Xenopus tropicalis: one gene and its partners. The protein of the gene in region 3 interacts with the protein of the main gene of each other region in a pairwise test. Links are inferred from orthologs where the notes say so. Each region holds a gene or a part of one and is shown on either strand. Other genes may lie near its edges.

Evidence for each region.
Region 1: the proteins of birc2 (region 3) and wdyhv1 interact in binary tests that used the Homo sapiens proteins (3 or more experiments, as listed by UniProt). The two-hybrid records come from large-scale screens. The link is inferred for Xenopus tropicalis from reciprocal best matches to the Homo sapiens genes BIRC2 and NTAQ1.
Region 2: the proteins of birc2 (region 3) and tsga10 interact in binary tests that used the Homo sapiens proteins (3 or more experiments, as listed by UniProt). The two-hybrid records come from large-scale screens. The link is inferred for Xenopus tropicalis from reciprocal best matches to the Homo sapiens genes BIRC2 and TSGA10.
Region 4: the proteins of birc2 (region 3) and ppm1k interact in binary tests that used the Homo sapiens proteins (3 or more experiments, as listed by UniProt). The two-hybrid records come from large-scale screens. The link is inferred for Xenopus tropicalis from reciprocal best matches to the Homo sapiens genes BIRC2 and PPM1K.
Region 5: the proteins of birc2 (region 3) and gcc1 interact in binary tests that used the Homo sapiens proteins (3 or more experiments, as listed by UniProt). The two-hybrid records come from large-scale screens. The link is inferred for Xenopus tropicalis from reciprocal best matches to the Homo sapiens genes BIRC2 and GCC1.
Region 6: the proteins of birc2 (region 3) and exosc5 interact in binary tests that used the Homo sapiens proteins (3 or more experiments, as listed by UniProt). The two-hybrid records come from large-scale screens. The link is inferred for Xenopus tropicalis from reciprocal best matches to the Homo sapiens genes BIRC2 and EXOSC5.
Region 7: the proteins of birc2 (region 3) and hsp90b1 come close enough for resonance energy transfer, tested with the Homo sapiens proteins (2 studies listed by BioGRID). The link is inferred for Xenopus tropicalis from reciprocal best matches to the Homo sapiens genes BIRC2 and HSP90B1.

The regions. Positions count from the first base shown.
Region 1 is NC_030682.2:139,824,858-139,828,830, forward strand, and holds the start of wdyhv1 (protein N-terminal glutamine amidohydrolase), read left to right. Parts: upstream 1-1,173; 5' UTR 1,174-1,351; coding exon 1,352-1,422; intron 1,423-3,973. Other genes in the region: atad2 (ATPase family AAA domain-containing protein 2), read right to left, coding at 517-702. UniProt on the Homo sapiens protein: Mediates the side-chain deamidation of N-terminal glutamine residues to glutamate, an important step in N-end rule pathway of protein degradation.
Region 2 is NC_030678.2:112,847,687-112,851,773, reverse strand, and holds part of tsga10 (testis-specific gene 10 protein), read right to left. Parts: intron 3,774-4,087; coding exon 3,623-3,773; intron 2,404-3,622; coding exon 2,228-2,403; intron 956-2,227; coding exon 800-955; intron 1-799. UniProt on the Homo sapiens protein: Plays a role in spermatogenesis. When overexpressed, prevents nuclear localization of HIF1A.
Region 3 is NC_030678.2:162,208,764-162,212,850, reverse strand, and holds part of birc2 (baculoviral IAP repeat-containing protein 2), read left to right. Parts: 5' UTR 1-80; coding exon 81-936; intron 937-1,223; coding exon 1,224-1,323; intron 1,324-1,802; coding exon 1,803-1,881; intron 1,882-2,010; coding exon 2,011-2,056; intron 2,057-3,018; coding exon 3,019-3,258; intron 3,259-3,448; coding exon 3,449-3,706; intron 3,707-4,087. UniProt on the Homo sapiens protein: Multi-functional protein which regulates not only caspases and apoptosis, but also modulates inflammatory signaling and immunity, mitogenic kinase signaling, and cell proliferation, as well as cell invasion and metastasis.
Region 4 is NC_030677.2:79,129,764-79,134,593, reverse strand, and holds the start of ppm1k (protein phosphatase 1K, mitochondrial), read left to right. Parts: upstream 1-1,855; 5' UTR 1,856-2,015; intron 2,016-4,830. UniProt on the Homo sapiens protein: Serine/threonine-protein phosphatase component of macronutrients metabolism.
Region 5 is NC_030679.2:89,148,146-89,153,022, forward strand, and holds the start of gcc1 (GRIP and coiled-coil domain-containing protein 1), read left to right. Parts: upstream 1-1,810; 5' UTR 1,811-1,919; intron 1,920-4,846; 5' UTR 4,847-4,868; coding exon 4,869-4,877. UniProt on the Homo sapiens protein: Probably involved in maintaining Golgi structure.
Region 6 is NC_030684.2:79,498,306-79,502,392, reverse strand, and holds part of exosc5 (exosome complex component RRP46), read left to right. Parts: intron 1-229; coding exon 230-343; intron 344-549; coding exon 550-671; intron 672-4,087. UniProt on the Homo sapiens protein: Non-catalytic component of the RNA exosome complex which has 3'->5' exoribonuclease activity and participates in a multitude of cellular RNA processing and degradation events.
Region 7 is NC_030679.2:49,296,766-49,300,852, forward strand, and holds the end of hsp90b1 (endoplasmin precursor), read right to left. Parts: intron 3,402-4,087; coding exon 3,156-3,401; intron 3,076-3,155; coding exon 2,939-3,075; intron 2,667-2,938; coding exon 2,588-2,666; intron 2,466-2,587; coding exon 2,310-2,465; intron 1,804-2,309; coding exon 1,681-1,803; intron 891-1,680; coding exon 861-890; 3' UTR 287-860; downstream 1-286.

The DNA of each region.
Region 1 (3,973 bases), on a different chromosome or scaffold from region 3:
TAGGTTACAGAAAGGCACATTTTAAGCAACTTTTCAGTTAGTCTTCATTGTTTATATTTTTTGATTTGCTGCCTTCTAACTTTTTGAGCTTTCAAATAAGGGTCACTGACCCAAAGAACTATTGCTCTGTGAAGCTACAGTGTTATTGTTACTTTCTAAATACTTATTACTTAATTTTTCAATTATGGGCCCTCCCCTATTCATGTATCAGTCTTTCATTCAAACCACTCCCTGGTTGCTAAGGCAATTTGGATCCAAGCAACCAAATAGGTGCTGGAACTCCAAGCTAACAAAAAAATGAAATTATAAAACTACAAATAATAAAATAATGAGAATATTTCTCTCTACGTCATACTAAAGGGTCACTTAGAGGTGGGCAACCCCTATCTATTTATCTACGTTCGTTAACTTGCCCGTATGTTACTGGGGGGCCAAGGACAATGCTCCAGAATACGGGGTACACCTCAGCCCCCTCGGAACACGCTGAATATAGCCAATAATATACCCATGACTTACTTGGCCAGACCGGGCCGCCCCATTGGTGCCGGTGTTCCTCTGAGACCTCCGTTTGCCCAACTCCGGGGACTCGTTCTGGGGCTCCAGACTCAGAAACTCGGAGCTGGCATCGAGCAGAGAGTCTTGCTCCCGGTAAGAAGGCCCAGCGCCGTTAGCCGTCCCCGTAGAGCTCCGAAGCAGCACCATGACCGCTCCCGCCGCTGATTACAACCCTCACAAACGGATCAGTCGGACGGGACAGCGATTCCAAATTCTGGCGCCACAAAACTTCCACAGCCTGACGCTCTCCCAGATCATATCCCTCCGCCGACTGTCTAAACTATGGTTTTCCTATTTCCAACACCAAGCGCCTTCCGTCAGCGCAGCTAATACTCTCTGCCCGTGTAAACCGTACGTACACGTGTATCGGCCGCGGTGCGAGCAAGTCGCTCGAGGAACTACTACATTCGGTTACACGTATACCGCGGAGGGACACGTTTGTTTTGGCGCGTCCGCAGTTTGTTTTTAGCGCGGGAACTAAAGGGCGAGTTTTGATTGGCTGAAACGTGAACACGTGTTTTACCCTTCGGCCGATGTTTTCGGCGAACGCAGGGACTTTACAGCGGCGACAACTGCAATATTTATAGTGACGTTGAATAATAAGGATTCGTTGTGTGTGGAAAAAGTGTTTGACTTGTGATTAGACAGTCGGGACCGGTGACGGCTTAAAGCCAGCTTAGGAGGGAGAATATAGTGGGTAGCAGTTTCCGGGGGAATGTTTAGGCTGTAGCACCCGGTGGCTTCCTTGTTATTGTGACAGCTGAATGGAAGGCGGCTGTGGTGCAGGGGGAGAGCTATGGAGCAGGCAGCCCAGGTCCCGTCCCTATTGCCGGGGCGCAGTGACTGTCACTATACCGGCTGCTACTGGTAAGCTTGGGGGGAAGGGCACAACTGGCCCTATAGGTTTATGGGTCCCCTCAAAACCAGCAGCTATGAGATTTTCTGCCTGCAGCCCTCCTACTCCTGTCTAAAGGCAATTCCATAATCCCCCCTATTATTATTATTAACATTTATTTATAAAGCGCCAACATATCCCGCAGCGCTGTACAATACCTCTGTAACACTTGTTTGGCTATAATATGGCCAACCCAGGCTAGTAGCGTGCTGTAGAGCTAAGTGGGAGGTATTAATGGAGCTGAGGGTGTTGTTGAACTACAACTAGCTGAGGTAGTGTGGTGCAATAGATAGAAATGGACGCCAGAGGATTCTTATGAATGAACTGGATAATACTTTATTTGTCCAAGACAACGGTATTCAGGGTATTCAATACTCAATAGATGCAGAACAGTATGCAGTTATACAGTTGATGTAAAATTGATAAATAGCAGAAATATGATGCTCCCCTGTGTATCCCTTCTCATCAAGAGGTTTGGGCAGGTAGAACAACAACAGCGTGATAGGTAGGAAAGCTCACCGGCATAGTCCCATGCTCTGGTGGAGGTTAGGGCAAGGCATATTTGCTAACCTATTCCCCTAGCACTTCTGTGTCCCTAATCTAAGGCCAGTAATGCCTGTTAGGAAGACTACTCCTTTGCTATTATCCTGGATGGAGCAAATGGCTGCTCGTTCTATATAGTTCTGTCTGAACTCACCACTCCTAGAGGGTGCTATGAAATATGCTGCTATACTGTCTTCTCCTCATTCACGGGGCCCTGTCCCCGACTTCAGATGATATAAGTGGCTTTTACTGGGGCCGTCTGCACCCAGGCTCAATGGACTGATGCCTGAGACAGGGGCAGCCAAAGAGGAAGACACTCCCTTGTGCAAGACACTATATAGTCTGCCAAGGGGAGTGGTCAACCGGACTAAACCTGTAGGGGATAGCTTAAAGGAACAGTAACACCAAAAAATGAAAGTGTATAAAAGTAACTAAAATATAATGTGCTGCTGCAACCGTAGCTATAGGCCGACTGCAGGGCTCGGAGTTGCCACAAACTGAGAGAGAAACACCTGTGTCTGTCGCCATATGGAAACCTAAATAAAATAAGATAAAATGAGATCTTGGAAATATTAACACTTAGGGCCAGATTCATTAAAGTATGACTCACGAAATCCAATAATTTCTGATCATTGCGAAAGTCACAAAATCTCCTTTCGTTTGAATACGAAAATTTCGTACTTACAATCCGAAATTTTTGTTTTGAAACGATCGTTTGTGATAGTCATGAAATTTTCGTATTCAAACGATCGTAAACGGTGGGAAAACCTTTCTGACTTTGATCCTTCAGTGCATGATTTTGGAAGCATCGCATAGGGCTCAATGGCACTCTGCAGCTCCAACCCGGCCCAAGGAAAGTCTCCCATAGGGCTCAATGGCACTCTGCAGCTCCAACCTGGCCCAAGGAAAGTCTCCCATAGGGCTCAATGGCACTCTGCAGCTCCAACCCGGCCCAAGGAAAGTCTCCCATAGGGCTCAATGGCACTCTGCAGCTCCAACCCGGCCCAAGGAAAGTCTCCCATAGGGCTCAATGGCACTCTGCAGCTCCAACTTGGCTCAAGGAAAGCCTCCCATAGGGCTCAATGGCACTCTGCAGCTCCAACCGGCCCAAGGAAAGTCTCCCATAGGGCTCAATGGCACTCTGCAGCTCCAACCCGGCCCAAGGAAAGTCTCCCATAGGGCTCAATGGCACTCTGCAGCTCCAACCCGGCCCAAGGAAAGTCTCCCATAGGGCTCAATGGCACTCTGCAGCTCCAACCCTGCCCAAGGAAAGCCTCCCATAGGGCTCAATGGCACTCTGCAGCTCCAACCCGGCCCAAGGAAAGTCTCCCATAGGGCTCAATGGCACTCTGCAGCTCCAACCTGGCCCAAGGAAAGTCTCCCATAGGGCTCAATGGCACTCTGCAGCTCCAACCCGGCCCAAGGAAAGTCTCCCATAGGGCTCAATGGCACTCTGCAGCTCCAACCCGGCCCAAGGAAAGTCTCCCATAGGGCTCAATGGCACTCTGCAGCTCCAACCCGGCCCAAGGAAAGTCTCCCATAGGGCTCAATGGCACTCTGCAGCTCCAACCCGGCCCAAGGAAAGTCTCCCATAGGGCTCAATGGCACTCTGCAGCTCCAACCCGGCCCAAGGAAAGTCTCCCATAAGGCTCAATGGCACTCTGCAGCTCCAACCCGGCCCAAGGAAAGTCTCCCATAGGGCTCAATGGCACTCTGCAGCTCCAACCCGGCCCAAGGAAAGTCTCCCATAGGGCTCAATGGCACTCTGCAGCTCCAACCCGGCCCAAGGAAAGCCTCCCATAGGGCTCAATGGCACTCTGCAGCTCCAACCCGGCCCAAGGAAAGCCTCCCATAGGGCTCAATGGCACTCTGCAGCTCCAACCCGGCCCAAGGAAAGCCTCCCATAGGGCTCAATGGCACTCTGCAGCTCCAACCCGGCCCAAGGAAAGTCTCCCATAGGGCTCAATGGCACTCTGCAGC
Region 2 (4,087 bases), about 49 Mb from region 3:
CTAATTGGACCAGTGTCATCTTCTAACAGGGCCCAATGTTTGCATATTTTGAGATTTGTTATCAAACACTATTTTGGACTGATCTAGTTACACCTGGCTGCCCAGTTGAATAACTATGCTGTGCAGCTCATGGTTTGCAAATAAACCAAAACATATACTTAATTGCACCATTTGTTGGTCTGGTATTCCTAACTGACTTTAATGTTATCACTCGATAATAACCCTACACTTCCATCACAAGAAATGACCAGCTTGTGATTACAATATTGAAACATGTGTAACCAGCATTGCCAATCATCCAGTGCTGCTGTGAATATTATATAAAATGTGGGCAGTATAGCATATCTGCAATTCATTAACAGATGACCCTATTAAATGTACCTCATAAAATAGGTTTCATCAGATATCCAAGAATTATCATGATTTAAGTTTGTGAACACTAGAAGTGCACCCAGATGGCCTTTATTTATAAAGTTTAAATGCCAGTCAAATTTTCCTTGATCCGCAAAATTTAAAAACTGAACTGAGTTCAGCACCACCAATCATTCTACATCTTCATATATTATCTTACTAATCTTAACCTACTATAGAATGAAATGTAACCATACATATTTAATCAAGAAACCATTCAGCTGATTTCACTGAGAATTTTTTTAGTGCAGTATAAACATTCCTTCCTTTTTTAGTGCAGTATAAACATTTCCTTCTTCAGCAAAATAAAGGACCCTGAATTATAAAAGTTCTAATGGTGTCTTATTGTTCCAGGCATTACTTTTTTATAGTCATACACAGTAGTTACCCGATCGTAAAGCATGTTGGCTTTGTCCCGGTCTGATGTCAGTACTTTTACATTCGCTTGAATTTCTGCCATGTGACGCTCATATTTCTCTAGCATTGTTTGCAACTCATCTCGTTCCCGAAGGGTCTTCTTGAGTTCTGACTCTAACTGTAACAACTGGAATACATACAACAGAGGGTAAACTAGGAGCACAAAAGACAGGACTGAAATAAATACTAGTACAGGTATAGTATCCATTATCCTGAAACCCATTATCCAAAAAGCTCAGAATTATGGAAAGGCCATCTGCCATAGACTCCATTTTAGTTAAATAATTACAATATTTAAAAATGATTTCCCTTTTCTTTGTAATAATAAAACAGCACCTTGTACTTGATCCCAACCAATATATAATTAATCCTTTTTGGTGCAAAATCAATCCTATTGGGTTTAATGAATGTTCAAATGATTTTTTAGTAGACTTAACAATAATAGGTCTCATACCTGTATTACAAAATATGTCATGTAATGTATAATTGCTATAAGCTAAAATAAGACTGCATTCCCCCACACCATCTTATTGACTAGGGTGCAATAAGGATTTTGGGGTGGGAAAATTCCACCTATCATATCATATGTGAGAGACCAACATTAAAGGGTTTTACAAAAACACAGATAATGTTGTGTGTTTATTTGTTTTAAAACGTCTAGTTAAGCGAACTGTCAATGTGGTTGCTATAAGTTACAGCAGTATGGCAACCTTTGCCTTCCTGCACAAATTACTTTTACTGACTCTGCAAAAAATAGGTGCGCGCATGAAGCAAGCACAATGTTTTCTAAAAAGTTTTACAGGAAACATATTGGATAAATGGAAAACCCCTAAATTTGTAGGCAATTATGAATAATATATGGTGCTGGTTTCACTTTGGGCTAAATATTAATCCTATCTGTACAAATGGCCCCATTATTTGAGCTCCCTATAGACCCTTCTCTGTCCGGGGTGGGCATTTCCTAACGGTCCCTGCCAGAAGCACAGCAGGAGGGGGATAACCAATCACAGCCTTGCACTCACACAAGCAAAGACAGTCTTCAGTAGCCTATTAGGTCAGCCTAGCTGCTGATTGGTTCCTATCCTACAGTGCACTGTACCGAGGGCCGCCGGCTCCCCTGCACATCCAGAGAATTCAGCCAGCAGGAAGTGGAACAGATGGGCGGGGCTAGTGGGGTTTTGGTGGAATTTCTCAATAAATCAGTCCGAAACACAACTTTATTAGCCACAATCCTTCTATATCTAGAGGAGTATGATTCACTGGTACATTCTTAATTTTTATATGATATGTCTCCTTTAATATTTTGGATGGTCTCCAAAGGAAGCAATCTAATTCTTGTTATTTACAAATTAATACATAACAATGTATGTGGATAAGGGTTTTTAACATTGTTGCCAACCTGGGTATTGGTATTAGCTCGCTTGGGACTAAGACTCTGACGTCGCAGGGTTTTCCTCAGATTTTCTGCTTCCCTTTTATAGTGATCTCGTTCCTCTTCCAATGATTTGATGAAGGAGTCAAGTCTAGAAGGAGCCATAGCATTACTCTTCTCACATGCTAAGACTGTGTTCTTTTCTGTTAACAAGGAAAAATATTGTCCTCCACTTAAAAGATTAAAAAACCTTTAGGGTCAGTATTACCCCTTGTACAGCATGAGTGCAAGGGTTTGATTCTCCTTTAATATCCAAAGAAAGTGAATTGCACTGTCAAAACTAAATAAAAGGAAAAAGAGAAATACAATCTTTACAGCACCAGTTGCACGCTTCCATTCACCAAATAGGCGCAAAAAGATTAGAATCTAATTTGAAAATTAAAACATGATTTTCATTGTAATAACAAAATGAAATGAGAGGGAAAACAACAAAAAACACTTGAAAATCAGCAGAATTAAGGAAGTTATCATTTCACAGAGTGATTATTACTAAGGAGCCATGATCATCCAATTTATGTTAGAACCAAAAAAGCTTAAACAAAAAGACTGTGGAAGTCACAGGGTTACATTAGGCAATATAGCTGACTTCAATTAAATAATTACCATAGCTTGGTGGGTCTACATTAATACAAAATTAACAAACTAAGTTACTAAATGTAACTTATAATTCTCTAGGTTAATGAGAGTATCATATGTCAGAGAAAGGAGATTGGTAACAACTACTGAACAAAGAGAAACAATTACTAATTGCACCAAACTCAGTCCTCAAGTCTACAACTATTACAGATCTGTATGCCAAGCAATCATTCCACCTCCTACTTACTCCATCTTACTGCTATAGCCATAAACCAGGGGTAGGCCACTTGAAAGAAATGCACAAATGCTACCCAACAGACCTTTGTCCCTGCCTATGATTTAGTCTGGCTTGAATGTAGTCTTGCAAGAAGAAAATTAATTCAAAAATTGCCTCTATTAGCTTAGATTCCCATTGTAATTAGAATTAGCCATGTCCACACTTGACCTGATGTGCGTTTTTTCTGGCCCCTGAGGAGGCATTTGCTCACATATAAATAATGATGTCATACACAGCAGACAATAAAGCTCATAGGTGAACAGGGTGCCTTAAAAATACCTTAGAGAGCCACAATCGGACTGCAGGCCTCAAGTTGGACAGCCCTGATTTATACCAACAGCAATAGTTAGACATTGCTGCCATTGGTCAACGGGCCACAGTAAAAAGCTGTTACTCTACTCTTCGAATATCATATTCTCTGCCTCCCTTCAATCTCTTTAATTAATCTTCTCATAGCTTGCCACCAGAAATATAATATATAACTCTAGTGTCATTTCATAGGAAGTTACCTGATCTCTCGTGCTTTTCAATCTTTTTGCGTAGTCTGTTTTGATCATCTTGAAGCTGGTCTACGAGAACATTTAGGGTCCTGTTCTCATCCTGTTTTTCTTTGAGTGCAACTTCTGCATGCTCAAGTTGTTCTTTAGTAAGGCTTGCATCCTGAATTGCAAAATACCATTTCAGAACATCATCATACATCAGCTATGAACTATGCAAAATGAAGGATATCAAAATAATTGCAGAAACACAAATTAAAAGCAAATTTTCTTCTCCTCCTGATGTAACAAACTGCAAGTTTTCGAAGCATACAAAACAACAAAAACTTTTTATACTAACATCATCCAGCTAGAAAAAAGACAGAAGGGAAAGAAAATTAAATTACTATTCTATTGCTCCAATACAGTACTGCAAACATAATTAGTGTGTGATTAAAGCAATTCTGAAAACACAGGTATGGGACCTGTTAACAAGAA
Region 3 (4,087 bases):
TTGCAGAATAGGAAACGTAACTGATAATATAGTAACTATCTCCCTAGGAAAGATGCCCCCTTCCTTCCCTTTCACAAACCATGGCAAATGAGATTTTGGACAGACGCCCAGACCTTGCTAAGAGGTTGAAGTCAAACCCAAGCATGTGCAAAATTACCTTGGAATTCTCATGTGAACTCTACCGTCTCTCTACATTTAGCTCCTTTCCAAGCAATACACATGTGTCTGAGCGCAACCTTGCAAAAGCTGGTTTTTATTACACCGGGCAAGATGACAAGGTCAAGTGCTTTACCTGCGGCTTGATGCTTGATAATTGGAAGAAAGGTGACAATGCATTTGAAAAGCACAAAAAGTTGTATCCCAGCTGTAGTTTTATTCAGAATGTCCCTTCAGTGAATCTTGGCGCATCTCTGTACTCTGCCTTCTCACCACCTGCCTCCAACAGTACATCCATGCCTGCTGCTTCTGCTGAAAATGACAAAGTTGAGGCAATCACTTTGAAATATAGTAGCATTCCCCAAGATCCAGTCACGCTAAGGGGCATTGAGGATCTGTCGCACGTCAGGATCAGTGAATACATGTATACAGAAGAAGCCAGGCTTAACAGTTTCCAAGAGTGGAGCAATATGTTCCTTACTCCTGCTGAACTCGCAAAAGCTGGCTTTTATTTTGTTGGGCCCGGAGACAAAGTCGCCTGCTTTACCTGTGATGGGAAATTGAACAACTGGGAGCCAAATGACAATGCCATGTCAGAGCACAGACGACATTTTCCCAATTGCCCCTTTGTGAAGTCCTCTACAAGGGTTTCCTCAAGGTTCAGCGTTTCAAATGTCAGCATGCAGGCCTCCTCGGCTCGACTCAAAACTTTTGCCAGTTGGCCGCCCAGAATTCCCATAAGCCCAACACGGCTCGCAGAGGCTGGATTCTACTACGTTGGTAGGTATTTGCCTTATTGGAATCCTATAACGGACATCCTTCCCAAACTAGTTGCCTTAGGGTTCGTTGGCCAATACATTTTGAGCATAAGTTTTACTAATTTTGTACATGCTGAACAGCCATACCTGGGTGCTTAGGCTGTCACCCTGTGTACAATGAGCCTTAGGTAGTTAACCATGTATTGCTTCCCAACCAAAGCAGTTAACCTGTGAGTGGTCGGTAGACCACAAATTACATTTATCCAAAGGACTGAAATATATTAATTATTTTTTTACCCCTGTTTAAAGGGAGAAATGACGATGTTAAGTGCTTTTGCTGTGACGGAGGCCTTCGTTGCTGGGAGTCTGGAGATGACCCATGGGTTGAACATGCAAAATGGTTTCCTAGGTTTGTGTCTGTAATATTCTCATTTACATTGATACTTGAACACTGAAACTGTATATCAAATGGAATTTGGCACGGTCAGGAAGGCTAGTTGTGTAAGCTCGCTTCATTCAGTTGGTGCAGGGGTTTTCAACCTGCTTAGGCTTAAACTCTTATTTGTTCTCAGACATGTTAAGGGCCACCATATCTCATAGCAAACAAACATATTCTAAAATGCCCAAACACCTTTTTGGTATCCATCCTGACAATTCACCGAGTGAATGGTTAGTAAGTAATTGGGAAGCAGAAACCCTTGTTATAACTTGCCAGCACTCTTGCCAACACCTCTAAATCATGTGTCACAGCCATTAGTCACTAATAAATGCCTGCAGCATACAGATAGTCAATTCTGCCTTTTACCAACATGTTCGTCTTTTAAATAGCATTTTGGTTATAACCTATAGTCGCGTTCTATTAAAACATATAATTTTTTACCTCCTTAGGTGTGAGTATTTGTTGCATATAAGAGGTCAAGATTATGTTCGAGAGGTTCAAGAAAGATATCCACATCTTCTTGATCAGGTAAAGATATTCTTATGGGGTTCTTTAAAAAGCTGTAGTATTTATCACAAATCTGGTAACGTTAGATGCATTTTGCACAGAAAAACACGAGGTTTAATGACACTTGATGGTTTTTTTTGTCTTCGTTAGTTGCTGTCATCTTCAGAAAACCAAAATGAAGCAAAGAACATACCCAGTAAGTGCATTAGTTTGATATTTATCTGTTTTCAGGAGTTGTTTATGCTGTGCTGTAATTCAGATAATGTTAGAAACTGTATAAATTGGCCAATATGAAAGCAAACTCCCTGTTGCTTAGGGCTCTGGCACACGGGGAGATTAGTCGCCCGCGACAAATCTCCCTGTTCGCTGGCAACTAATCTCCCCGAGTTGCCATCAGAGAGCCATCAGTTGCCATCCCACCGGCGAACATGTAAGTCGCTGGTGGGATGGCACACGCGGCGGCGCAATTTCGGCAAATCGCCGAAAATGCCTCGCAAAGGCAACTTCTGTGATTTGCCGAAATCGCCTGCGCAGCGTGTACCACCCCACCAGCGACTTACATGTTCGCCGGTGGGATGGTAGTTCGGGGAGATTAGTCGCCCGTGACAAGGGAGATTTGTTGCAGGCGACTAATCTTCCCCGTGTGCCAGAGCCCTTACTTTTATTCTAACCACAGTAGTGCTTGATAACAACAAACTTTAATGCTAAGTCAAGAATTACCACGAGAAATAGGAGAATAGAAATTACATTCTTTTGTTTAATATAAAAACTTGAAAGTTGGGCTATTTTCACTGATATTACCTTCCTCCTTTCATTAGAAACAGGGAAATATTTTTTCAGGGCTCCCTATCTCTCTCCTCTGAGAAGCAGCCTTTGAACAGCTCATTATCAGGGGCTTCTGAGCTGGTAATTAGTTTTATCAGGTCTTTAGGACTAGGAATTGCTGAAGTGAAACTGGCTTCATATTCTTTAGTGCCAGAAATAACAGAAACCATAGATACTGCTCGCATATGCAGTTTTGCACCAAATTCCGCTTAGTGTGACAATCTCTGTCGGGTTATTTTGAGGGAAAACAATACAATTTGCAGAGTTGCAAGTTTTTTTTTTTTTTTTTTTATTTAGTGGTGAATCTAAACTATTTTTACATTTATATTACAGTTATTCGATTGGGAACGGAGAATAGCCAGGAAGATGAAATCATGATGAGCACTCCCATGGTTCAGACTGCCTTGGAGATCGGATTCAATAGAAGATTAGTAAAACGAACCGTTCAAAGTAAAATTTTGACATCTGGGGAAAATTATAGTCAGCTTGATGATTTAATAAGTGATCTCCTTATTGCACAAGAAGAACAGACCGAGGAAGAGCGAAACAGACAGGCAGAAGAAAACTCATTGGGTAAGTGGGTACATTTAGATTTCAGCCCCAAAACACACATTTGAGCCCTTTAGTGTTTAAAATACTCCTTGGGTGACATGCAGTTGCCATTCATATCAGTGACAGGTAGCATTAGGGGGGACACTATGGTGCCATGTACATTACATTTCTAAAAGGTGTTTAAATTATCATTGTTCCTTTGCTTTTGCAGACGATATCTCTGTAATACGAAAGAGCAGAATGGCTTTGTCACAGCACATAGCTAGCCGAAGCATTCCAATCCTGGATTATCTGCTCTCTTCCAACGATATCACCGCTGCTGAATACGAAGCCATAAAGCTGAAAACACAGCCTATTTTGCAGGCACAAGAAATGATTGAAACTATAATAACTAAAGGAAAAACAGCAGTTCAGACATTGAAAAACTGTCTCCAGAAACACGATCCAAATCTCTTCAGACAACTATTCAGTAAGTTTATTAAAAAAGAAGTGGATACATATCTGTTTGAAAGACATCAACTTCTGGGTAGCTAAGGCAATTAGCAGAGTTTTGGCCTGATGAAGTTGTGTAGCACTGTGTCCAGAAAGGGTTAATGTTGTCTGAGAGGCCTTCCAAGTGGCCCCCTTTATTTGAGGGTTGGCAGTATATTTTGCCACTTATCACAGACATTTTGCAGTGGAGGTTGCATGAAGACCACCTGTACAAAATTATTAGAACTAGTCATACATCCTTCATGCAGTCACACTGGGCAATTTTGTAGTTGTGTCTTCATCCTGTTGTTTACTATTGCCTCTACACATATGTGTCCATTGCTAGACCAACTGGTTGGATTATCCATTATTATGAGAT
Region 4 (4,830 bases), on a different chromosome or scaffold from region 3:
TGAAGGAATCTGCAAAGACCACATTCTTGTGTTTTAGTATATTAGTATATGGAATTTCATCAATACAAAAGGCTTTGACCTTTAAGGAAAACCTGTCAGTTTTCAGTTAACAATAGGAATGTGTTTAAAGTGTTATGTGTAATGACATACCATAATTTATTTTGTTAAAAAATGACCAGAAGCAGTAGTTTTAAAACTGTGTAGGAGCTGCCGGCTTTCTAAAAAGTTGGAGTGCAAAGCCTCATCGGAAAAAATTGCTGAAATCTCATGAGTTTTGGTCTCATCCGTTTTTATTTTTTAGTATATTAGTATATGGAATATCATCCATACTGATTATATTGTGACAAAATATTCAGATTTTTCACTTATTCCAAATAATCAGACACGTAAACCACAGTCACCTAAACCCTTCTCCCTCCAAATGAAGGAAACATAGAACATAGAACAGCCAATTCGGAGTTAGCTAACGTTTTACATCACTACATATCAGCCTTTGTCAATGTCTTGTAACCAATCAGGACTCCTAGTAGCCTAAGGGGCATGTGAATACCAAAGCCACTATTGGATGAGGAAAGAGCCTGTCAAACCACGCCCATGATCTTGGCACAGCTTCAATATCATTGTATCTGCATCCACCTCCCACCCCCCAGTATGCAAAGGTTCCAAGAAAAGCATTGCTGCTATTGGTTGAGCTTAAAGAGAACCTGTCAGTTTTCAGTTAGCAATAGGAATGTGTTTAGAGTGTTAAGTGTAATGACATAACTATAACTTTAATAAAAAAAAAAATGACCAGAAGCAGTAGTTTTAAAACTGTGCACGAGCTGACTTTCAGTGATACTGTGTAAGGCACCTCTCCCCCTGCAGCCCCCTCCCTGTGCCTGTGACCGGAGGATTTTTGCTAAGCCCGGGTAATGCTCTGTTTCCTCTCTGCAGCCCTCCTTGCTTTGCCTGTGACCGGAGCCGGAGGAGTTCCCTCTGCAGCCGCCCGGCTGCCTCTAACCGGAGGAGTTCCCCCTGCAGCTGCCCCCCACCTGTGAATGGAGCAGTTTCAATTAAACTGCGTAAGGCTCTGTTCCGCAGCTGCATCCCCACCCGGTGCCTTCTACATTACGCATTAGGAAGGCACCCGGTGGGGGATGCAGCTGGGGAACAGAGCCTTACACAGTTTTATTGAAACTTCTCCGTTCACAGGTGGGGGGGGACTCCTCTGGCTCCGGTCACAGCTGCACAGGGGACTCCTCCAGCTCCGGTCACAGGCAAAGCAAGGAGGGCTGCAGAGCATTACCCGGACTCAGCGAAAATCCTCCGGTCACAGGCACAGGGAGGGGGCTGCAGGGGGGAGCGGTGCCTCACGCAGTATCACTGAAACTCCTCTGCTTGTAAAGAGGAGGGTGTAGAGATTGCACAGTGCTGGCTGAAGTACAGTAAACTTGGAGTCCTTCCCTACTAACAATAAAAAAAAAACCTCTCTTCCATGTTCTCTGTTCTTCGTTCTCCGTTCTTCTCCTGCACATTCAAACGGTTGAGAGGTAATCTCAGGAGAGTTCAGCTATATTTTTTTCCCATGGGGCTTTGCATTCTGACTTTTGAGAAAGTCGGCTTGTGCACTCTAAACACATTCCTATTGTTAACTGAAAGCTGATAGGTTCTCTTTAAGTCTTGCTGTGCTCCATGCAACGCCCATCGAGCTGGCTTAGTTCATTTGCTGAAAAAGGGGAGTGTGTATCTGTCAATAGCAATGTAACTGCATCCACCTCCCAGCATTCAAAGCTTCCATGAAAAGTGTAGCTGTGATTGGTTAAGGAAACAACAAGCACTACTGTTCTACATACGCAACGCCCATTACATTGGCTCGGTTCATTTACAGGAGGTGGGTGTGCATCTGTCATATGCTTGCTTCCTCTCGCGGTGTAAGCTTATAGATGATTCTAGCTGATACCTATTGCTGCTTGCACCATCTGGGACCCTATTTCTTTGATTTTAATCAAGATATTCAAGCCTGAACATTAATCAAGGTGAGATGAAATCCTGTAGCTAAGGCTGCGTCACTTGGTAATGCTCGTATTTGTTAACCCTTTTCAGTCATGCATACCTTTATCTTTTTCATGCATAAAGCTAGGCTGATTGTCCAGACAGCCTTAATGCTTTGACCTTTAAAGAGAAGCACAGTAAACCTGTTGGATTTATTTAATACATTTTAACAATATTAGACACTGTGGAGTTCCATAGCCATATAAAAGCACAAGTTCAAAGGCCAAGTGCTTTTGACCAGGACACAGGACATCGAGGTGACTCATATTTTACAACTGGGGATAGACTAATTTTTATAATGTAGTCATGTAACAGGAAGACTAATCAATTTTAACTGATTACATTACTAAGCACCATTTATAAAGTATATATTACAATATATTTTTTTGTATCTGAAATCTATTTACATGAATAAACTTATTCAAATAAAACTGTTCCCCCTTTTATGCTGGAGGAAATTAACAGGTATACAGCTATCAGACTGACTTCCAAGTCAATTTCTGCATGGCTATTTTGTGTAATGTTGTCAGTGTAAACGCCACGCTTGGGGCAATTCTGTCATAGGGAAAGTAGCAAGTGTAAACACTGGCAGCAAAGAGTGAAACACACACAGGATTGTTTTGGTACCAATATGGATTCATGCAGCTTAGTTAGAATCAAGTACAAGGTATTTTTTTTTTTATTACAGAAAAAAAAGGAAATCACTTGTAATTCGGAGATTTCTGGATGATGTATTTCCGTATAATATATCCTATACCGGTTAACATTTCTTAATTGGTTATATATTTATCTTTAACATAATGTTTTCATTATGGTTTAATTCATAGCACCAAACTGAATCCAAACTCATGTCACTTTTCAGAGCAAATTTTTTTTGAATTTTATTAATGTTGAAATTGGTGTTTGGTATTAAGCCAAACCTATTGTTGCTAATCTAGCAGGAAGTGATTAGAATTCTGAGAGGGCTGGAAGTTTTGCAGCAATACCATTTACAAGGATTTCATCAGAGCCTTTCATCTGCAGAAATTGTTAATCAATTTTAGTCAGGGGCCCTGAGTTCAAATCCAGCCTGGACACAGTTACAAAAACATACAGGCAGGTTAATTGGCCCGTACTGAGAAAATGTGTCAGAAATTCATAAATAAAGGATTATATGTCAAGGGTGAACTAAGAATATACACAACTCTAAGTAGTAACAAAATTATCTGTGGGGGAAAAAAGCTATATTGTCCCTTTACTCAGCCCCTGTATAATAATATACTACTAATATAACCATGAGATAAAGACAAGATTAAGGGAAAATGTGTGTGTGGGGGTGTGGGGTTCATTGTATATAGATCTTTATCAATACTAACGAAGGTTGCTTGAGAAAGGGGTATAAACAAAAATAGGGGTAAAAACAAAATAAAGATTAGACCTAAAAACATGGATTAATCTGAGAATAAAAAGAACAGGCAGACCCTATATTTAGTACAAGCTCTGTTTATTTGGGTCCTGTCCAACATATGTGTGATGGCACACATGGAGGTTTGTCAGAAATGGGAAATCTGCGCTACCTTTCCCAGCACTTTACGTTCATCAATATGGTGTTCTCAGCAATAAGGGCCATGGTCCACAAGGAGATTAGTCACCCGTGGTTGAATCTATTAAATATATTAAAAATATGACCAGAGGTAAATAGATAGGAGCACCATACGGGGTTTACCTTAACATGGTATGGTGGCTTACCAATCTTATGATCATAATTTTGTAAATAAAACCTCTGTTTTTTGCAAATACTTGCACTAGCATAGATAATTTACTTATGAAACGGGACCAGGGAATGTGCATTGATCAATCCCCCTCTCTTTTTTGTATTCTTAATGTACTGTTGCCCTGCACCAGTACAACTGGTGTATTTTCTTTAGAAACATTGAATGGCTGCCCCAATGGCTACACAGCAGCCATTTATATAAACTATAGTAGTCTTTCTGTAGCAAACATGCAAATTTTACCAGCGCAGGGCAACAGTGCATTGTATTATAATTACTTAAAAACACTTTCATTTTTCGATGTTACTGTTCCTTTAAGGATGAGTTACTGAAATACTTTGCAAAAAAAATTGGAAGCAGATACCTTGATGCTGCCCTCTGCTGTCGTTTTTTTGTAATATGTATGACTCTTAGGAACAGAACACCAAGAGGTGACACTTTATAGAAGCTGCAGGGAAATTATACTTGGCTAGGTACAATCGACATAAAAACATTTAATGTCACAGCCTCAATATTTAGTAGTTAGTATTATTATTGACAAGTATTTATAAAGCACCATTTATAAACTTATAAAGCACAGTGTGCGCCTATTGCTGCACATTTATCACCTTGAATGTATGTATGATGCACACATTATCAAATAATACATTATTTGTGCCAGATGACACCCATAGAACTTCTGGGGACTTTCTGCAGCAGTGTAATTTGACCCACTACAACTGTAATAATTAGAAAATTGTGTGCTTAACACTACCACTAGTTCTCTGTAACCTAGGACATGGAATAAAAAAACCCGACCAGCTGTGCAGTGCTGTTTCATAATTAAGCTGAGTTGAATAAATCATCCCTTCCAACAGCACACATGTAAACCTATACTGGCCTATGCATAAACTTACATACATAAACCATATATACCCACCTCTATACTAACTGTAGATTTTAGTATCACAATAGCCTTGGACACTATGCTTGTTCAAGAACTCATCCAGGCCCCTCTTAAAGGAGACATATTGGATAAATGGGAAAAACCCTAATATTGTAGGCAATT
Region 5 (4,877 bases), on a different chromosome or scaffold from region 3:
TGACGGCATGACCATTCAGCATGCTGCCTTAGGGTTATCTATAATCAATCTCCTTCTCTAACCATATTAATAACACTGCCGAAAAATGCTGTTTTTTCCTCCGCAATATTACCAAGATATGCTCCTTTCTTTCATAAGTAACAGCTAAAACACTAATCCATGCCCTTACCCTTTCCCGCTTAGATTACTGCAATCTCCTACGAACCGGCCTCCCAGACTCCCACCTCTCTCTCCTGCAATCAAACTTAAACTCTGCTGCCAGGATCCTCCTGCTCTCTCCAAAGAGGCAATCTGTTCAGCCCCACAATCGCACTAGCATTAAGCAAAGGATAGCATACAAAATCCTTCTGCTAACCTTCAAAGCCCTTCACTTCTCTGCTCCTCACTACATTTCTTCACTGGTCTCTCTGCACATTCCTGATTGTCTCCTCCGCTTCTTATAGAGCCTCCACCTTTTTCCACACCCACTGCTCTCTCTCGCCTTAAACCTTTTATATCCTGTTCCTTACCTCTGAAACTCTATCCCTGAATTCCTCCATAGTGAACACTCACCCACTCTCTTTAAGAAAAAAACTCAGATGCTACCTTCTGGAGCACTAAAACATTATTTTGTCTAGTCTCGCGCTTGTGCACTCCTACCTTCCAATTTTCCATTCAAGCTGGAAAAAAGGCACAGGTTATATAAGTAGATAACAGATAAGCTCTGTAGAATACAATGGGAATCTATGCACCTCATCTGTTATCTGCTGTGTAACCTATGCCTTTTCTCCTTTTTTTTAGTTTGCACAGCAACTTTGTTTATAAAAACTACAGTAGTGTATCTAATGCAAACACATAAATTTTACCAATGCAGGGCAATATTACATAATACATGAACTACTTTGAAACACTCTAAATTTTTGGTGCTAGTTACGGTGGCCATACACGTAACAATTTTGATCTTTCGAAAGATCGTTCCCACCCTCCATGGAGGGTAGAAATAACAGAAATTCTACCTCCTTCTGCCGATTCAGCCCTTAACATAAATTTTGCCCGGACGGCATCAAAATCTTTTAACGTGGCTGATCAACGAGTCAACCGATATCCGCAGCCTCTTACAATATCGGTGGCCTCATCAAGCCGCAAAACACGCACCGAATCGCGCCCTGAGGCCGCCCCATTCACAGTGGAAAGAAGTCTCCCATTGCTCCGTATGGGAGCAAATTTCCGGTGCAGCGGGACGGCATGCCACCCCTAAATTTTTGCTGCCCTAGGCCAGGGTCTTTGTGGCCTAGCCACACACCCGGGCCTGATAAGTGCGTGTACAGCTAGCTTTAATCTTCTCACCCCCTGTAAGATTAAACGCATACTCTGCTTGCCTCCTAACTCACTCTTAACTGCTGGGATATGAAGAGACAACCTCCCTCATCCTCCCTGCTTTTCGGCCTCCTGTAGGAGCTCCACTGTGGCTGATCCTTTGAAATAAGATACAATTCCCCGCTCTCTCCCTCACCCAACGCCATCCCCCGGTCTGATTTATTCATTCTTGTAGTTTCAAACACAGCGTGGATCCAACACCAGCTATGCAGTATCATGCAAACTGCTAACATCTTGTACTTGAGAACCGGAACGGTTTTTATGTTACTGCGCGTGCGCATTTTTTTTTTCTTCAATATATATATATACTTTTATATCTATTTCTTCCGCCATGGTAACCACTGACCAATGAAAGCAGCTTCCGCCTCTCATGTAGAGGTAGTCGAGTGCCTGTTGTCAATGTTAGCCAGTGTCGACCAATTAAAAAAGTTTTTACCACTATAAGCCGCGCCTTATTCCAATCAGATTGAGAGGCGAGTCTAAAGATTTGATTGGCAGCTGAAGTAGCCAACGCGCGCTTTGCTCCACGTCTGCAGGATTGAGAAAGATGGTTGATGTTGTAGGTAAGTGAGGCTGCGGGTTTTCGCTTAATGGAAATGTGTGATTTTAATGTGAAGGTGCCAGGGAAGCTTTTGTTTTTTTTTTTTTAAATTAGTTAGTTGCCAATTGTCTTTAATAGCCATGCTGCTGTGTTGAAGAGAAGACGTCTCTTTAGGCAGTATTAGTGCAAGCTTTACTTGATTGCTGCTTATCCATGACTTCCAATATGCTGGCAAATATCGGAGGTGGCCTTAAATAGCAGTTCCAGTATAATGTCACCCGCATTCTATTTTCATCAAGGATTTCCAAGTTGAACCATACTACCAGCTGTTCTAAACTACAACGTAGTGTTCGAGTGATACAAGGCTTTGCCCCAACTGGATGTCTGATCAGTAATTACTAGTAATCTACTTGCATTAAAACAAATGAAGCCTTTATCTGTACTGCTGGCTTGACAGCCACGTAGGATGGATTTTAAAACCGTGCAGTTTAAAGGCAGAATTTGGCAGCAGTGTTAATATTAACATTATATCTGTAAACTTAGCTGACAAACAAAATGGCAGCATACATGCACAGTAAGGAGTTAGGCTTATTGTACATGCACATGTCACTTCAGGATGCTATTTCCTAGTGTGGTCATGTGATCATCCACCTGATCTCCAGGACTTTAGACCACCTAAGAACTAGCATATGCATGCAACTATTTGCTCCTATTTCACACACATGTATATATAATTTTTTTTAACACCAAGGCCAGCAAGCAGTATTTAGTGGTAGCTTCTAGATGTGCAAAGCTGGTAGAGACATACCCTAAAAGACTGGCAGCTGTAATTGCAGCAAAAGGTGGTTCTACAAAGTATTGACTCAGGGGGCTGAATAATTATGCACACCCCACTTTGCAGTTATTTATTTGTAAAAAATGTTTGGAATCATGTATGATTTTCGTTCCACTTCTCACGTGTACACCACTTTGTATTGGTATTTCACGTGGAATTCCAATGAAATTGATTCATGTTTGTGGCTGTAATGTGACAAAATGTGGAAAAGTTCAAGGGGGCCGAATACTTTTGCAAGCCACTGTATTTCCAACAGTGTCACAACTCACACAATACCTATCACATCCAAATAAAAGGAGAAGGAAAGGTTAAAACTATTTAAGCTTTATCAGAAATGTCTAAGTATAAACACCAATAAACACTCACAGTAATGCTGCTCTGAGCCCCTGTGAAAAGAAACATGTCATTGCTTTGCTTCTGTTGTTCACACATGGGCTTCTTTATCATACTTCCTCTCTAGCTAAAACACCATACCCCGGGAAGCCTGCCTGTGCAGCTCGCTTCTTTCTCCCCTTCTTGCTATAAACTGAGCCCAGAGCTATGACCCAGCCAGAGACTTAGTGCAGGAGGAATTGGAATTTATATCACACAAAGCTAATATAGCAGCTATTATCCAAAACAAACAGAGATAGCTTTTAGGGCTGTTCACTGAGGTATGGTAACGCATTCTACAGAATAAATATAGCTTTCTAGCTTGCACTATTGTGGCTAATCTATTGAGAGTATACAGTATCAGTAGGTTTCCTTCTCCTTGAAGTTGTTAGTCGCTGTGAATGCCACTATACACATACAAGTACTGTGAGGGCCAAACACTGAGATACATAGTCAAGAAATTTGACTGACTTTGGCCTTACAGCCTAAAGCTGGCGATACACGTGGCGATCTGACGATGTTTCGTGCGACCATCGGTCGCACGAAACATCGTCAGATGTGCCACACACCATTCAGGGCTGAATCGGCAGGTAAGGAGGTAGAAACAATAGGATTTCTACCTCCTTCTGCCGATTCAGCGCTGAAGGGAGATTTTGATCAGGCGCCTTCTATGGCGCCCGATCAAAATTTTCCAACTGGACCGATCGGCGTGTCGGCCGATATCAGCAGCTTCCTGCGATATCGGTCGACTCGCCGACATACCATACACGCACCGAATATCGTACGAAACGAGGTTTCGCACGATATTATCGGTGCGTGTATGGCCACCTTAAGCTTGCTTACTTTTCTAAGCCCATATTTCAAGTTTATACAAATCAGCCTGCAAAATCTGGTCTTCCATCACCTCCTATTGGCTAATATTAAAGCCATATCTGACCTGCAAAAAGAAAGAAACTTTGTAAAATACAGTAATTAAACATTTTCTATGTTTTAAAGTTATTTGTAAAAGCAATTGAAAACAGTTTTTGGTTCTATTGCTCCAAATCTTTAAGACACTTCCACTGCTCTGCATATTGATTGTACTTCCTTTATACACCTTTAAAGTGGACCTGTCACCCAGACATAAAAAGCTGTATAATAAAAGTCCTTTTCAAATTAAAGAAAAAACCAAAATCATCTTTATATTAACACATTCAAACCCATTATAAAGGCATTTAAAAATCCCAGCTGTCAATCATATATTAAGGCATAGAGGCGGGGCAGACAAGTACTTTAACTTTCAATTCAGCTCACACTTTCCCCCTCCCTCCTCACCATCTAATTGTGTAGCCAATGCATGGGCCTGGGCATCTGGTCCCCCATTCTGGCACATACACACGATTTTGGGGTGATACAAAGCTTGCCTTAATAACTGTGTCCACAAAATTGCAGCTGCCTATTTGATGTGATTGTGTAATTCCAGGACTGAAGGAAACAAGATTTATATTACTTATATAGTGTAAGTGAAGTTTATTTTGCTGAACAAACACAATAGAAAATAATTTAAAATTATTTCTTAGGGTGACAGGTCCCCTTTAATCTTATTATGCTTATTTGCCAGATATTTTTTAATACTGATTCTGTTTGCTGTCTTCATATTTTTTTTTTTTTTTTATCTACGTCTGTCTTTTTCACGTCTTTTTTAATATGCAAGGAACTCATTTCAGACTCCCTCTTTTCTTCTACTTTTATATAAAAATCAGAATGCTAAGCTGATCTGTTACCATGGAGAAA
Region 6 (4,087 bases), on a different chromosome or scaffold from region 3:
GACAGAAGACTTTTATACGAGCAAAATCTGTGTTTAGGGCTTAATTGTCAGGTGGAGGTAGAATCCTTATTGTTTCTACCTCCATATCTGACAATTCAACTCTGAATGCCAGTGGAGGGTGGGAACGATCTTTCCTGAGACAAATGGTTGCAGGAAAGATTGTAATTGTAAGGTGTATGGCCACCTTAAGGCTAACTGTTCAACTGATTTCCATGTTGCTTTCCTGTAGGCGACACATCTGTAATGGCTGGAGTATATGGCCCTGCAGAGATCAAGGTCAGCAGAGAAATCCATAATAAAGCCACATTAGAGGTGATCCTCAGGCCCAAGACTGGGTTGCCTGGTAGGTGCTTCCATCAGAGACATGTTCTGTTTTTCTGAAGGCAAGAATTACATCTAACAGCTAACAGACAAATACTTTGCATCATTGCAGTCTAACCACAAAAAAGTTGCCCATGTGACATGTTTCTGGTTTTCTGTACTTAGACATTTCTTTTCACTTTTTATCTACCTGGAATATCATTCTTTTTTTTTTTTTATTCCCCAAAGCTATCCAGGAGAAAAACCAGGAGCAGCTAATTCGTGAAACATGTGAATCTGTCATCATTGGATCCTTGCATCCTAGAACCTCAATAACCATTGTGCTACAGATAGTCAGTGATGCTGGATCTGTATCCTAAACCCACTTTGATATTCTAGCTTTTGACTATTATAGGCAATAACAAATTTTATTGTGTTTTTTATTTGTGCCTACTGTAATAAGCACAGGGGTCAGTCTGTCTTTGAAATTCATGATTTGCTGTGCTAATAAGATGTAAGTGGTGAAATCATTTATGTGTACATTATGGAACAGCTTTTGCAAGACTGAGATACACAATCTACTGCAATTTGTGGATGGCCATAGGAGGAATAATTGAGATTCCCTTTTTACAGAAGGATGAAGGGAAGATATGCATCTGGTTAGTATTTTAAACAGCTTAGTTTGACTGAAAATCTCACAAACCGCAGATAAACAAGGTGCAAAATACATGGAGAACATCTGCTCAAATGACTTAGTAATGAGCGATTTTTTGCCAGGTTTTGCTGCAAAAAAACATCCATAGACATCAATGGCTGCAAAAAAAAAAAGTTACACAGTAAAAAAAAAGTCTCCCATTGACTGCCATTTAACTAATTTTTTCGGCAAAGCAAAAATGGACAGATTCACTCATCACTTGGCTGCAGGAATGTAAAATTGCAGTTTGACTTGTGTAACTTCTGTAAGTTGTGGATATTTTTATTTACCCACTGGATGGCAGCAATGCGTCACACTCCAACTATCAACTTAATCCTTCTTTTCTCTGTTTTGTTTTACTGCCTTTTACGCCAGAAAAGCCCTTTTTTCTTTATTAATGGTATACATTAAGAGCATCCATTGATTAATGGGGAATGGTACTATGTTTTTTTTCTTCTCTGTATTCAGAGAATCATGAATAGTTTCTACAGTTTATCATTTAGTGATCAGAATGCATGCATCTTGAGTTCAGGTTTTGTCAGCTGGCAGCTTCATTACCCCAATATTTTTGGGTAATCGATGACCATAAGGTAATTAACTTGGTCTTGGCCCAAAGGTAGTGAGGAGGGAGGTGAAATCTCTAAATAAATCTCAAATAAATACTTTATTCAAATCACAATAGGCATGAAGAAGAAAACAGGCCTCACTTATCACTTAACTGACAATAAAATCTAAACTGGGATTTTTAAATCATATGGTTTCTGTCAGGGCCACTTGGCTTAGAAGGTTCCCTGCAAAGGTTTGCCTTGGATGAACCACTTCTTCATGTTTTCTGTAACCCGAATAGCCCAGCAGGCTAGGTGTACAACATCATGAATCCTGAAAATACTCCAAAGGTTTTTTTTTCCCTTTGGCTAGTCATCAATGAGCAGATTATCAAAACCCAAGATAGAATTAAATCAAAATCCCCTTACTAAGCAGTAAAACATGCTTGGCCCTTGACTTAAAAATGACAAAATGTATTCTTCTGTCAAGTTAAAAGATTGGGATTTTTCTGACATAAAAAGCCCATTATCTAAAGATTGACCTTAATATTCACAGTTCATTTACTGCCTCAGGCTTCTAAGGTATTCCCACTTTTTATGTCCCAGCCTTCCAAGTGCAAGAGCTCTCCATCCTCTCTAAATAACTAATGGGATTTGACTGTACAAGGAGAGTGCTGTGACCCAGGGTTGTATGTATGGGTGAGCAATATTTCAGTTTGCAAAAATTGTGTTTATGGCTTTTATTTGTAGTACAGGTATGGGACCTGTTATGCAGAATGCTGGGGATCTGGGGTTTTCCAGATAAGTGGTCTTATTATAATTTGGGTCACCATTCTTTAAGACTGATTAAAAAAAAATTTAACATAGACCCAATATGATTGGTTTGTCTCCAATAAGGATAAATTATACAATAGGATCAGGTACAAGCTACTGTTTTATTATTACAGAGAAAAAGGAAATGCTATTTTAGCATTGTTGTACTGACTTGCCTTTAATAGTTTGTTCCATGTTTCTGAAGCAATAACAATTGTGTATACTTTACTTTTAACATAAAGCATGGGTACTTCAATTCTAAAAGTGCTGAACTCAAAACGTAATGACTTTGTTTAGCTATGTGAACATTCTGTCTTTCATCATGCTGAATTGCTCACCAATATATATATATATATATATATATATATAATATATATAAATTTATTTATTTATTTATTTTTTTTCCATGTTTTGTAGGTAAATATTGCACTTCAACAAGAACTTTCTTCCAATTCTCATGGAGGGTGCTATGGTATATTTTGGCCTTACCTTTTGGTCTGTAACAAAAATTCAGAGCAATAAAACAATGGGCAAATTGGAGCATAAATGAGTTTTTCCTCAAAATTTACAGCATGAACGATTACACAAGCTGTGGGTTTCCCCACTATTCATTTGCTGTGCATTGCTTGTATTTTTCATTTAATTGATGTGGTGTGGGAGGGAAGCTGAGTTTGGTTGCCTGCAAGGCCAAGTTGTACTTACAATCTATCTAGTACATTTAGGATTTTTTGTCTCAAAGCTTTTTAATTCTACCCCCATTTAGTTTGAATGCAAATAATAAGTGCTTAATGCTAATTCATGCGGGGAGTTTATCACTTGCCTAAATTGAAGTGTAATCTCTAGTTTTCAAAAATGAGAAGGTGTCCATTCCCATCGATTTGCTGTGAAATGCTGGAGGCAGTTTAAAGGACTTTTTGTTGTAGTGTTCTATCTTGGTGCAAACACCTTCTGCACTGTGCAATAGAGCAGTTTTCTCCCAGCTCCTATAACAAATTCTTCTAATGCCTACATAGGACCTGAAGAAAAAATTCATCATAATTCAAAAATGCAATGGAACAGAAATTCTTTTTATGGCGATAAAAAATCTCTTGGTATTAGTTGCATTGCAAAGAAGTCTGAACAGCAGTGCAAGCTTAGTGCATTCCCAATAGCCCAAATAAAACCTTCAGTTTTTCCTCTATTGTAAAATAAAAAGAAAATAGCTTACTACATTCAAATATGGCAGTGTGCTATTGCCCCTGGAGAAATATGTGTTAATGTATAAGTCTAGGCTGCTTTCTTATTGCATCCATTATACCGAGGGGTGCAAAGGAATTACTGAGGCTCACTGAGAGAAGTGCTTGTTAAAGATTGCATTTTCAAACATATCACAGCCATGGGGTCAAGGCATAAAACAGAAAAAAATGTAATTTCCTGTTTTTTCAAGGCAGGAGATGGAAATCATGGGAATGGTAGCTGTAGAAATAAGAAGAATATGTTAGCGTAGTGTTTTCCTGGTGCTCTGTTGAATGTAGGGCATAAAGATCGTATCAATGGATTCATTGTGTCAGCAATTACTCCAGTGTACTTACTGTAAAAAAAGCAAGGAAACACACTCGTTATTAGTAGGAGATTTCCTTTGCTCATTTTGTGTTGTTAGATGGTAATTTAGATTTTATTTTAGTTATTTATAACCCCCCCTTTCAAAAATAAAAAGTTGGGATGCTGTGTAAAATATACATTACAGAGAATGGGA
Region 7 (4,087 bases), on a different chromosome or scaffold from region 3:
AGGGAAAATTATACATACATAATCATTTCCATGGAATTTCTACATGCACTTTTGCAGCTATAGACAAAGCAGCATCTGGAACAGCTATTATACCTATGATAACCCATGGTAGGCCAACTGGAGTCTGAATGCTGCTATTTCCTCCCATCAACCCACTACTGGGGCAAGGCTGGACAGCAATTTGTATTTGCAGTGCTCTTACAGCCAACTACTGGCAAAATAATATTAATATAAAATGACACAGATTAATATAGAGCCATTATTTCAAAAACAGGAAATGCTGTTCTTCATTATAGAAACAAAGTCACCTCAACTTTATTGTTGTCAACTGCTGTGGAGTCTGCCTGCAACACATAACAGTAACCCAAAAAAAGTTACAGATTGTTGCACTTAAATCATTTTATGCTTAACAGTGCCATTTTCCACAAAATTATATTTACAGAATGTTTACAGTTCACAAATGCATCAGGACCAGCTCTTTGTAGTGTTTTCTTAAACTATTTTTCAGCATGTCTCAAGACAGTGCCATTGGTGACACCCTTTGTTATCATTTTCAGACAGTTTCACAGGATAAAAAGATATAAAACATAATGCCTCTTCTAGACGAAGAGGTTTTTAAACCTGAAGTGCTCATATTCCTAGTTTAAATTGACATTCCCTTTTCAGCTTTGGACGCTAAATCCAGTATGGCGTTTTCAACATTTATTGTAACATGAAAGGTTTTACATCAATATACTCATAAATAGTACAAATTTACATTCATGAGGAATGTTAAAAAAAAAAAAAATCCAAACTAAAAAACCCTCCCATCCACAAAAACAAAAAAAGTCCCTGGATCCAAGTGGACGTCTGAATGGAATTTACAGTTCATCTTTTACATCTGTGGATTCCTGCAGAAGGGAAAAAAAAAAAAAAAGCGTTAATAAATTTGAGCAAACTGCCTACTTAAAATTAAATCAAAATAAATGAACGTCTGGTTCTGTTTTCATTGGAAGGTTCCCCTCACTACACTGACCTTAAAATCATAATGGCACTTTACAGATTTAAAGTGTTGGTATACCACGGAAACCCTACCCAACACTATTTAGAACAGGTTTATAAAACAAAAAGATACCTCAGTGCTTCCTCCACCTCTATATAAGCAGTGATGTTGGGGGTTTAAAAACAGACTTATTTGGTCTATGAACTTAACTGCCCATCCCAAACCCTAGGCAAAGCAACAGGTGTGTACAGAAGTGATGGGGGTTGTTTCTGTTACAACATTTTTCTGGCTTCACCTTTCTGTGCGGAAACATCTATTATACCGTACATAGAGCTTTTAAAATTTGTATGAGTTTAAAAGGAGAACTACACCCCCCAGGTATAAAAGCCCCCTTAATTGGCCTGCATTGATCCCTCTTCCCTTCTCACATAACCTATAACTTTAAAAAGTGGCCCGATAGAAAAACCCAACCTAAAAGAGCAGTGCAGTGTACCCTGCTTGAGCATGTGTTAATGATTTCCGGCTAGCCCCAACTGCGCATGCTCAAGCAGTGTCTTTACTGGTGGTGAGACCCGAAGCAGTTTCTATTAAAGGGAAGATGGCACCCAGGTACCCTGCTCTGCTTTTTTAGGTTGGGTTTTTGTATAGGACTTTTTTTAAAGTTATAACATATAAAAAGATAGCAATGTGCAGTTTACCTGTGTGTCTGTTTCTTCGGTTTGTGTTTTTTCCTCAGCCTCTTCGGCATCAACCTCTTCCACATCTTCATCCTGTTCAGCATCATCTGCAGCAGGTTCTTCCTCTTCTGGTTCTTCTTCCACCTGTTTAGGAGGAAAAAAAATTAACAAATCAATAACATGTGAATTGTACTTGCTGGCGTATGATACCTGTACTCCATTTGCATCTGAACACCCTTTAGGCTGACAACTCCAAGGTTATCTAAAATCCTAAATCTGGCTCTATAGTTGGATGGGGTAAACTCCCATGGTGAAATAGCCAGTATGAGTCCATAAGAGTTCTGCAAACTTTACACCTGGCAACAAAACACAGTGACTGATAATTGCCAGTACTTTTTCTACTCTGAACCCAGTGATCATGGGAACTGTATACATTTGGCAGGCAGCTTCAGCTACAGTAGTTCAAACAGGGACTGCCCATTGAAGCACACTAAAGGGTTGTGTGTCACGGTTTATGCCAGAACTCAAAATATTTTAAATCTACATGCAGTAGGCAGATGATTTTCGGGGTACAGAAAATGTTTAAATATAACCGTTTTGTTGAATGGTGCTTAAAACTAAGATAGTAGTATTCATAATACTGCAGTTACCTGAGCATCAAGGTCAATCTTTAAGCTGAGGCGCAGCATTCTTTCAATCCTGTCTCCATATGATTTAGTATCAGGCAGATGATATCCTGAACGTAAGGTGGCAGTTTCAAAGAGTACAACTGCAAGGTCAGCTACAGTCTTATCGTCTTCATTTTCCTAAAACAATGGAGATATAGTAAGAAAATGATATACTTGCTCAGCTTTTAAAGCATATTGTGCAATGATACAATTACACATTGCCTCAAAACACAAGGATAACAAACTAAAAAAAAGCTCACCTTTACTCTTTGCAACATTTCCTTGATCAAAGGATGTCTTGGATTTATTTCAAATGTCTTCTTCTGGCCTGAATAATAACTAAAATGAAGTTTTATACAGTTAGCAATTTAATCATTTAACCAACTCAACCACCCATATATTTTCAAAAACTTGTGCCCAATGCCCACAGTTGTCAAATTGTTATTTTATGTACCACACCCACATGCCAAGCAGAATTTACAAATGTAATTTCATCTGTGCAGGCTGACTTTAGGCGGATATCCTTTACCTTTAGCTAAAAACTAGCTAGCTGCCAACAAAAAGAGCTGTGTATCTAACAGAAGGTCATTTCAATACATAATGGGACTTACTTTGTGGAAATATCTTTTCCTGTCTGATATGCTTGAGCTTTCATTATCCTTTCCATATTGCCAGACCAGCCATACTGACTGGCTACTAGTGCGCAAGGAGATTGTGTCAAACGCTGGGATACTACTGCTTTTTCAATCTTAAAAAAAAAAAAAAGATTGTTATGCAAGCATGGGAAATTTGTAGCATCTCTTTCCATAAAAAAAAAACCCCACATACCTGGTCTTTCAAAGCCTTTTCTTTCATCCATGTCAGCAGTGGTTCATATTCCTTCTCCAATGCTTCCCGTGCCTCCTTTGACTTTTCATTTTCATCAAACTTAAGGCCTTCCTTTGCAACATTTTGGAATCTCTTCCCATCAAATTCTGGCAGGGCCTGGATGCAATACTCATCAACTGGTTCAATTAAGAACAAAACTTCATAGCCTTTCTTAAGGAGGCGCTCAACAAATGGAGAGGACTCGACCTGGACAGCAGCACAAAAAATAAATAAATAAATTATATCACTTAATTACTACGTGTTTAATATTCTGGAATCAGTCACAAAAGAATACATTTGTAAACTGGTATGATACATATTTTGCATGGCAATACAGTTTGGAAACAGCAATTGAATGTACATCTATGACTATTTCTATGTGGGACACAGAAATAAGGGGAATCAAAGAATCTGCTCACTGGGAATCCCACATCTTGTAAGTGGGTATTAAGGTGTATCGATCATGCATTTAAACGCAACAATCTAAAACTAACATTCAGACGGAAATTGTAGGATAAAGTGACTTCCTGGAAATGCACTGTAGCTCCCCCAAGGATATCAGATATACACTACATGCACAGATTTTATAGTTAACCGTCCAAAATTTTCTAAACTTGCCAATTGACTAAATGACTGATCGCTATGGTACGAAAATGATCAGGGTGATAATTTGGAGCCTACACACTGTCCGAAAACCATACAAAAGGCAGTTTCTTACTATTTTATCGGTGTGTGCATGGCTAGCTTTAGTCTTTCACCCAAGATGAACACCCATCTTTCTGGCAAACTGAAACCCTTTTTTTGCCTTATGGCACATAATTCAGATTTGATTTTATTGCCTGCCTTCCACAAATGAAACAGGATGAAATGTCATGAGCATTGCCTCAGACATG